Saccharomyces cerevisiae S288C: one gene and its partners. The main gene of each other region encodes a partner of the protein of the gene in region 3 in a complex. Each region holds a gene or a part of one and is shown on either strand. Other genes may lie near its edges. The genes, in order: PET123, RSM19 and MRP51.

Region 1 (3,637 bases), on a different chromosome or scaffold from region 3:
ACTCTGGAGAGCTGTCACGGGTAGTTGCCCCGATGCTACAGGATGCTTGAACGCACCCGTCTTTAAAGTTTCCCAAAGGGTAGAGTATTTTGGTAATGATGAGTTTATCCTTACTTTCGCGATAAGAATCTTAATAGCCTTAGGCCTCCACGGATCTATATGTCCAATATCACAGGATTTTCTTAAGAATTGTTTTATTCGGTCTTGTAAGACAGCCTTTTTGCCCGTTATGGATAAATCCAGAGATTTGCATATTTGCTTTAACTCTAGAACCTTTAATTGTTCCATTTCATTTATTGCATCTTTTATTTCATTTATGAGTCCACCACCTGTGTTGGACAAAGGGTTCGTAAACATATAACTGGCATTATTATTATTATTATTATTATTATTATTTGACATGACACTTGCCATCGTGCTCTTTTCCCTTATACGTTTCTTGATTATCAGTGTATCGTTTGTGGTATTCTTAGTTCCTTGATATTTGCCTCAGTAATAGCCCTTTAAAGACCAACAAACGGATGACTATAGAAATGTTAATTTTAGTGTTATGTTATATGTGTGGTACTGAGCTGTGTTTGTTATATTATGCTCTGTGTGATAAAATAGCTAAAATGGATGGATAAATTAACACGAAAATTAACGAACAAAAATCAACTAACACACTTCAAAGCATAAAAAAAAGAAAAAAGAAAAAGAATCAAGAACAAATAATAAGCTCTGCTATAAGAAAATATATTATGTAAATAGTTTTGCGGTTAGTTTTTGACTTCCTTTATCACATTTTGTTGAACAATGATTTACTATACTAAAATATACTTAAGTTCTATGTTTTACTTTCAAGCCGTTATATCGACTTGTTCTTCTTGTATGTCACAAATATTGACAATACTCTCCTTCAGCACAGCAGTTGTACCCCTGGGGAATTTGTAGCTTTTCTGCTTTTCTTCTCTAACATTTGGAGTCAAGTAATTCCTCAAGTATTCTGCATCTTTACCTATTTCCATGACACACACATCCACATTAGAACCAGACCCCAAATCATTCCAGATACCAGCCTGGATTGCATCAGAGGCCAACTTTATGGCTTCCTCCTTCGTAAGGTCTTGCTTCCAGTGTGATTCCAACACAGCCATTGCCGCTAGAGAACCAGATCCTAGAGAAAGGTAGTAGCCCACGTCAGTAGAACCATGCGCATGAATGGAGAACAAATGAGATCCCGTAGGGTCTACACCTGCAACAATCAAATAAGCACCAATATGACCTTGGTACTTAAATAGGTGCTGCTTTAGCATTTGTAAAGCTGAGACCACTCTTGGTTCTCTCGAGGTATATAAGGAATGTAATTCAATGTTAGACCCGATCAACTGCGTAACTGCCTCAGTATCGGCGGCGGTACCGGCACCAGCACACCATATTTTGGGGGAAATTCTATGCAATTTTGCGCAATTCTTATCTGCGACAATTGGACCTTGTGTTGATCTTGTATCTGCTGCAATCACCACTCCGTTATTGAATTTTACGCCTACAATGGTGGTACCCGTGGAAGTTGCCTTAGGTTGTGTGTGCGAGTTTTCCGCTAAGAAATTATTTCTTTGATAATTGTCGAACGATAAACCTGCCATGCTCACTCAATTCTATTTTCTACAATCAGGTTTATGTGGGGGGAGTATTCCTGAAAAAATTTAACGCTTTACTATACAAACTCTCCACCTCAACTGATCACCCTTCTGCTGAATTATTAGTTTATCCTTTTCATCTTTCTTTTTGGTATTTTGCCACTCGGCCGGGTTATAAAATACGAAACATGGCCCTAATTTACCCGCTTTTACAATAAAGGGTTTGTAATGAGGGTAAAAATATTGGCCCTAATGAAAAATCACTAGCAACGGAAGTGCAAGTAGAACCCTGAAGTCGCCGAGTAGGAAAGTGATTCCCAAGAGGAGTAGAATAAAGAAGAGAATCTACATATGGATTATTTAGGTAATAGTTTCATTGCTGATTGTCAACAACAATAATAACAAGGATAATTGAAGTATGGGGAAAGGTGCGGCCAAGTATGGTTTTAAAAGTGGGGTTTTCCCCACAACAAGGTCCATTCTGAAGAGCCCCACTACAAAGCAGACTGATATTATTAATAAGGTAAAATCACCCAAGCCCAAGGGTGTTCTTGGTATTGGGTATGCCAAAGGTGTAAAACATCCAAAAGGATCACATAGATTATCACCCAAGGTAAACTTTATCGACGTGGATAATCTCATTGCGAAGACCGTTGCTGAACCCCAGAGTATAAAATCCAGTAACGGTTCAGCACAGAAAGTGAGATTACAAAAAGCTGAATTAAGAAGAAAGTTTTTGATTGAAGCATTTCGCAAGGAAGAGGCTAGGCTATTACACAAACACGAGTATTTGCAGAAGAGGACAAAGGAACTGGAAAAAGCAAAAGAACTGGAGCTAGAAAAACTAAATAAGGAAAAATCTTCAGACTTGACTATTATGACTCTAGACAAAATGATGTCTCAACCTCTTTTAAGGAACAGATCACCAGAAGAGAGCGAATTGTTGAAGTTGAAAAGGAATTACAATCGATCGTTGTTGAACTTTCAGGCGCACAAGAAAAAGCTAAACGAATTATTAAACCTCTACCATGTCGCTAATGAATTCATCGTTACAGAATCCCAACTACTAAAGAAAATTGATAAGGTTTTTAACGATGAAACGGAGGAATTCACTGATGCCTATGATGTAACTTCTAACTTCACGCAATTTGGAAATAGAAAATTATTACTTTCAGGTAACACCACCCTACAAACCCAAATTAACAACGCAATAATGGGCTCTTTGTCAAACGAAAAGTTTTTCGATATTTCTTTAGTGGATTCATATCTGAACAAGGATTTAAAAAACATTTCCAATAAAATTGATTCCAAATTAAACCCCACCTCTAATGGAGCTGGAAATAATGGTAATAATAATAATACAACCAACTTGTAAATAACTAATATATATACTACTTCAACATGTCATGTATTCGAAAGTGCCTTAGACGCATTACAACTAAAGAAAAGAAGAAAAAAAAATCAAATCGAGAATAAATATGCCCATGTATATACGTCACTTGCGAATTGTCTATTTCTCTCGTTCCCCTTTTTCTTTCAGTCCGCTGATGTTATCAATGTGATATTATCGCCTTTCAACAGGATCTTCCCCAAGGGCGTGCCCTTCTCCACATCTTCTTTACCATCGGCACTATTCACAGGAATTTCCACGGCTTCATCGATGACAACATTCATGAACTCATCAAATCCAACTATTTTACCCTTGATTCTTATGCCGATTTGCTCGAATAACCATATCGTTACTGGTGTTTGCTGTTGTAAGAAGTTAAATATGCAATTTATTGGTGGCACCATGGCCTTGGTTTTAACTTTGTTCGACATTCCAAGCCTCTTGTTTTTCGCTCTATATCCTTCCTGTGTTCCTTAATCTCCTTTCCTTAGTATTATCTCTTACCTTTACCATCTATTATTGTTATTTCACTTCAATTTTCTATTTCTCTGTTAGATGCTCAGGCTTTCGGTATAATTGAAAAAAATTTTCGAACATAAGGGATATTGACAAAAAAATAAATGAAGGA
Region 2 (2,529 bases), on a different chromosome or scaffold from region 3:
CCACGTTCCCGTTAGTCAAACGGACCCTGCACGCCTTTCTCTGCGCAGAATTCGGCTTCTTGGGCTTTAAAACCATTACACGTAATACGACACCCTTCCGCTGGGGACACTGATCCAGTTGTGGAGCTGTACTTATCTTCTTGCGTCTTGGAGGCCCGGAGCCTCTTTTAATCTGATTCAATGTCGCTTGCATTGTCGTAGTGGAGGAAAACAATCTCTGCGCCTGTCTCAAGGGCGTACACCATGTGTTGGACATAAACCTCGACAACATGGCTCTTGTTGGCCTGCTTCAATTCTGGTGTACCTGTAAGTTCTCCGTCTTTTCCCTGGTTATATGCGTTTTTTCTCCCCAAATCGTTTTGTCGCTCGGGTAAGACTGAAATGCTTTTAAAAGCACTATTACTGTTTATTATGCTATATATATATATATATACAGCCCGAGTCTGGCTTGATCTTATTTACATGATATATCATCTAGAAATCTATATACACTAGATCCCTCATTTGTTCTTGGTTTGAGTATAGCTGAAACGCTTCCTGGTAGGTGCGAACTCGCCCAGTTTGTGGCCCACCATATCTTCTGATATTTCAATAGGTACGTACTCCTTACCATTGTGTATTTGAAATTTCAGTCCCACGAACTGAGGAAGGATGGTGGCGGCCCTTGCGTTTGTTCTTATTGGAGTGCCCTTAGTCATGGCCTCCCTTATGGGTAATGGCACGATGTTGGGGCCCTTCCATACGGACCGCGATAAAAGTCTAGCTGCCGGTTGCATTTTATTTTTGGTGGACACTACTTCTGCCGATGCTGTACTGCTCTTGCAATGAACCTCACCGTTTTAAGTCATGGTTAGATTCTTACTAGGCGCTTCCAATTGCCATTTCTTGCTCAGCCATAACCGTGAATAGTGATCCAAACGCTAATGCCGGGTGATGCTTAAAATTTGAAAAATTATTGCAGATTTGTATTATATAGAAAGCATAACTGGCGATGAGATGTGCTCGAAACTGGACACCTTTACCATTGGTGACCGGTAGTGACAATGTTTGCATCGAGATTTGACCCTAGCCAATTGACTGCTCCTGCAGCTAGCGCACCAGAAGGAATCGTCGGAACTACTCCCCCGGCCATTGTGCCTTTAAAGAGGCAGGCTACTGAATCTGATAATGAAGAATATGGCTCTCACCAAGATTCTGATGAGAGTTCCAACTCTAGTTCAGAGGAAGACGAAGACCGTATGCAAGTAGATTATGGGGCTAGTGAAGAGGATTCGAGTGAAGTGGAAGAGGAAGAGAGTAAGCCAAGTACTCACAGCACAGTGCTATCGAGATTCAAGCAAACAGTATCATTGCAAGAAAGGCTAGGTGCATCTGATATTGCTGAGAGTAAGGAAGACGAAGGTATTGAAGACGAGGCGGCCTCAACTCACCAACTAAAACAGATTCCTCAACCTGAATTCGTCAAAAACCCAATGAATTTGAATACAAATTCATTACAGTTCAAATCTACGGGTTGGTTAAATACTGAGAAGATATATTATGATAATTCCTTGATCAAACCGTTCTCGGATTACGCAAATGAATTAGAAGCAAAACTACTGCAGAATATTTGCAAGAATTTCTCTACAAACACTTTTCCCATCCAATCGATCATCCTAGACTCCATATTACCGGTATTGAACTTCACGTTGAACGTATCTAAGAGAAACTTCACCAGAAGAATCGGTGATATTCTTGTAAATGCTGCTACCGGTTCAGGTAAAACTTTGGCTTACTCCATTCCTATTGTTCAAACCCTCTTCAAGAGACAAATTAACAGACTGCGTTGTATAATCATCGTCCCCACAAAACTATTGATAAACCAAGTTTATACTACGTTGACAAAGCTAACTCAAGGGACGTCGCTTATTGTGAGCATTGCCAAATTAGAAAATTCTTTGAAGGACGAACACAAAAAATTATCAAATTTGGAACCAGATATCTTAATCACTACACCTGGTAGATTAGTAGATCATCTAAATATGAAATCGATAAATTTGAAAAACCTAAAGTTTTTGATTATCGATGAGGCTGATCGTCTTTTGAACCAGTCCTTCCAGGGCTGGTGTCCAAAACTAATGTCCCATTTGAAAACGGATAAATTAGATACACTTCCAGGGAACGTGATCAAAATGATCTTCAGTGCGACATTGACTACCAACACAGAAAAGTTAAACGGCTTGAACCTTTACAAACCAAAGTTGTTCCTGAAGCAAACCGATAAATTGTACCAGCTACCTAACAAATTGAATGAATTTAACATCAACATTCCCACGGCGAAAAGTGTTTACAAGCCATTGATATTGTTGTATTCAATATGCCAATTTATGGCACATTCCCCCATTGCTGCAAAGATTTTGATTTTCGTTAAATCAAATGAATCGTCTATCAGATTAAGCAAGTTACTACAACTTATCTGTGAATCTCGCTCACAATCCAGCGTATTGAAAAACCTTCAAAATTTGGCGGTGAGTATTAATTCTGTCAATT
Region 3 (3,365 bases):
CGCTATTACTGCGGCGGTGAGAAAACTAGATCATGAATTAGGTATTCCAGAAGATGAAACTAAGACAAGGGGTAAGTTTCACTTTTTAAACAGAATCCATTACATGGCACCAAGCAATGAACCATGGGGTGAACATGAAATTGATTACATCCTATTTTATAAGATCAACGCTAAAGAAAACTTGACTGTCAACCCAAACGTCAATGAAGTTAGAGACTTCAAATGGGTTTCACCAAATGATTTGAAAACTATGTTTGCTGACCCAAGTTACAAGTTTACGCCTTGGTTTAAGATTATTTGCGAGAATTACTTATTCAACTGGTGGGAGCAATTAGATGACCTTTCTGAAGTGGAAAATGACAGGCAAATTCATAGAATGCTATAACAACGCGTCAATAATATAGGCTACATAAAAATCATAATAACTTTGTTATCATAGCAAAATGTGATATAAAACGTTTCATTTCACCTGAAAAATAGTAAAAATAGGCGACAAAAATCCTTAGTAATATGTAAACTTTATTTTCTTTATTTATTTACAGAACTCTGAATATACATTGATTGTTCACATTTTTTTTTTCTCTTCTCAATTTCCCTTGATTATATTCAAAAGGTTATTGGCCTCTTGAATGTTTCCCACTGATGGTCGACGTGCCCTTCTAGAGGTCAATGGTTTATAAATTGGTCTCTTATTGAAAAATTCTCTGGTCTTGTCATTTTGTGGTTCGAGTAATCTAGCGTGCATCGAAACAGAACCATTTTTCTCCATAGATGCCTCCAAGATCTCGAACAAGAACGTTTTCATTCTGATGAAATCTCCCATGGAGTTAAAGGAACTAGGTGGTGATTGGAAAAATACCACATCGGCCACAAACCCACCAATAGCTGCCAGCCATTTATTGTCGTTGTTCTCCTTAACAACGTTCAAGATTCTACCGGGTACTACAGTCCTTTGAATGACACCATTTGGTGAGTTTTTTAGCTTTCCTGGCAAGCTGTATGATAATCCACCTGTACCAATGATTTCAGTGTTAAATTTTTTATTCGTTTTTGTTTCCAACTTTTTGTTTAGAAACTTCACTACATAGTCTTCCAGCTTATTAGAATTCAATTTCAATTCATCCGGATGATTTTCCACCAGCCACTCTTTAAATTCATCTTGAAACGATCTAATTAGTGCTGTTATCTTCTTCAAACGCTTCTTCATAGCAGCAGGCGAAATATCTGTATCTCCTTTCATTTCTTTGAATAAGGACAATTTAGCATGAGACTCATCCTCAGGACGAGATATGTACTTGAAAAATGGATTTTGTCTGCCTATATTAGACACAATTGGTACTCCCATTTCTTGAAATCTTAGCCTATTCCATTGCGTACCGCCTCTAGGTTCGAATGTGGTAATTCTTTCCAACGTATCCAAATCGTTGTACACCAAATATCGAGATTTAATTTTCGAAGGAATAGCGGATTTCAACCCCCATTCTTGTCTGTATAGTGTCGATGGCTTAGTTTCGATGATTTGATGTGTTGGATGAAATTTTTTGCCAGTGTATGTCAATGGTTTATGATTGTTAGCTACTTGAGCTATTCTCGACCGTCCAAGCAACTCTGCCAATGTCATTTCGTTCAATTTTTTCTAAAATAAAGAAAAAGAAAAAGAAAAATGATCGAAACAGTCTCACCAAGGGTTGTAGCAAATGTCTGTATGATTTTTTTTCTTCATCACGGCACCTATTCGTATTGCTCCTTTAACTCTACATCTAAGTTCTTCATTCTTTGATTTCTCAAAACAAATATCACTGTCAACGTAAATATTACCCCGCGAGTTCTTTAACAATTTTAAGGGAAGGTTACTTAAGGTCATCTCTGAAGTAATGCCTTTATTTTATAACAAGGATTATTCATGATTATAAAAGATATCGGTAGTGTCAGTTAAAGGATATTTTAAGAAAAACCCCTTTGAGTGAAAGTATTACAAGAAAAAATGGCAGACTTGCCACAGAAGGTATCTAATTTAAGCATCAACAACAAAGAGAATGGTGGTGGTGGCGGCAAATCATCTTATGTCCCACCGCACTTGAGAAGTAGAGGAAAACCATCATTCGAAAGAAGTACCCCAAAACAGGAAGATAAGGTTACGGGTGGTGATTTTTTCAGACGTGCTGGAAGGCAAACTGGGAACAATGGCGGGTTTTTTGGCTTTTCTAAGGAAAGAAATGGAGGGACGAGTGCGAACTATAACCGCGGAGGCAGCTCAAATTACAAATCATCTGGAAATAGATGGGTAAATGGCAAGCATATACCGGGGCCTAAGAACGCGAAATTAGAAGCCGAACTGTTTGGTGTACACGACGATCCCGATTACCATTCATCTGGTATAAAGTTTGATAATTACGATAATATTCCCGTAGATGCATCTGGAAAAGATGTTCCTGAACCTATACTAGATTTTAGTTCTCCCCCTCTGGATGAGCTGTTAATGGAAAATATCAAACTTGCTAGTTTCACCAAACCTACTCCAGTACAAAAATATTCTATTCCAATAGTTACCAAAGGTAGGGATTTGATGGCATGCGCACAAACGGGCTCAGGTAAGACAGGTGGGTTTTTGTTTCCGCTCTTCACGGAGCTATTCAGGTCTGGGCCCTCTCCAGTACCCGAGAAAGCACAGAGCTTTTATTCTAGAAAGGGATATCCATCTGCTTTAGTACTTGCACCAACTAGAGAATTGGCTACCCAAATTTTTGAAGAAGCAAGAAAATTTACGTATAGATCTTGGGTTAGGCCATGCGTTGTTTATGGTGGCGCGCCAATCGGTAACCAGATGAGGGAGGTTGACCGCGGCTGTGACTTATTGGTGGCTACACCAGGGCGGCTGAATGACTTATTAGAACGCGGAAAAGTTTCTTTGGCTAATATCAAATACCTGGTATTGGATGAGGCTGATAGAATGCTAGATATGGGATTCGAACCCCAAATTCGCCATATAGTTGAAGAATGTGATATGCCCTCTGTGGAAAATAGACAGACCTTGATGTTTTCCGCCACATTCCCAGTAGATATCCAGCATTTGGCACGCGATTTCTTAGATAATTATATTTTTTTATCAGTAGGAAGAGTCGGTTCCACCTCAGAAAATATCACGCAAAGAATATTATATGTCGATGACATGGACAAAAAGTCTGCGTTGTTAGATTTACTGTCTGCAGAGCATAAGGGATTGACATTGATTTTTGTTGAAACGAAAAGAATGGCGGATCAACTCACAGATTTTTTGATCATGCAAAATTTCAAAGCTACAGCCATACATGGTGACCGCACACAGGCTGAACGTGAACGTGCCTTATCTGCTTTCAAAGCTAACG

Evidence for each region.
Region 1: MRP51 (region 3) and PET123 share a complex: the UniProt entries of both Saccharomyces cerevisiae proteins name them as parts of the mitochondrial small ribosomal subunit.
Region 2: MRP51 (region 3) and RSM19 share a complex: the UniProt entries of both Saccharomyces cerevisiae proteins name them as parts of the mitochondrial small ribosomal subunit.

The regions. Positions count from the first base shown.
Region 1 is NC_001147.6:630,127-633,763, forward strand, and holds PET123 (mitochondrial 37S ribosomal protein mS26 PET123), read left to right. Parts: upstream 1-2,037; coding exon 2,038-2,994; downstream 2,995-3,637. Other genes in the region: SUMO ligase NFI1, read right to left, coding at 1-414; PUP1 (proteasome core particle subunit beta 2), read right to left, coding at 840-1,625; mRNA splicing protein SME1, read right to left, coding at 3,156-3,440. UniProt on the Saccharomyces cerevisiae protein: Component of the mitochondrial ribosome (mitoribosome), a dedicated translation machinery responsible for the synthesis of mitochondrial genome-encoded proteins, including at least some of the essential transmembrane subunits of the mitochondrial respiratory chain.
Region 2 is NC_001146.8:694,552-697,080, forward strand, and holds RSM19 (mitochondrial 37S ribosomal protein uS19m RSM19), read right to left. Parts: upstream 777-2,529; coding exon 501-776; downstream 1-500. Other genes in the region: mitochondrial 37S ribosomal protein uS12m MRPS12, read right to left, coding at 1-271; putative ATP-dependent RNA helicase DBP6, read left to right, coding at 1,044-2,529. UniProt on the Saccharomyces cerevisiae protein: Component of the mitochondrial ribosome (mitoribosome), a dedicated translation machinery responsible for the synthesis of mitochondrial genome-encoded proteins, including at least some of the essential transmembrane subunits of the mitochondrial respiratory chain.
Region 3 is NC_001148.4:324,884-328,248, reverse strand, and holds MRP51 (mitochondrial 37S ribosomal protein bS1m MRP51), read right to left. Parts: upstream 1,622-3,365; coding exon 587-1,621; downstream 1-586. Other genes in the region: isopentenyl-diphosphate delta-isomerase IDI1, read left to right, coding at 1-385; putative DEAD-box ATP-dependent RNA helicase DBP1, read left to right, coding at 1,985-3,365. UniProt on the Saccharomyces cerevisiae protein: Component of the mitochondrial ribosome (mitoribosome), a dedicated translation machinery responsible for the synthesis of mitochondrial genome-encoded proteins, including at least some of the essential transmembrane subunits of the mitochondrial respiratory chain.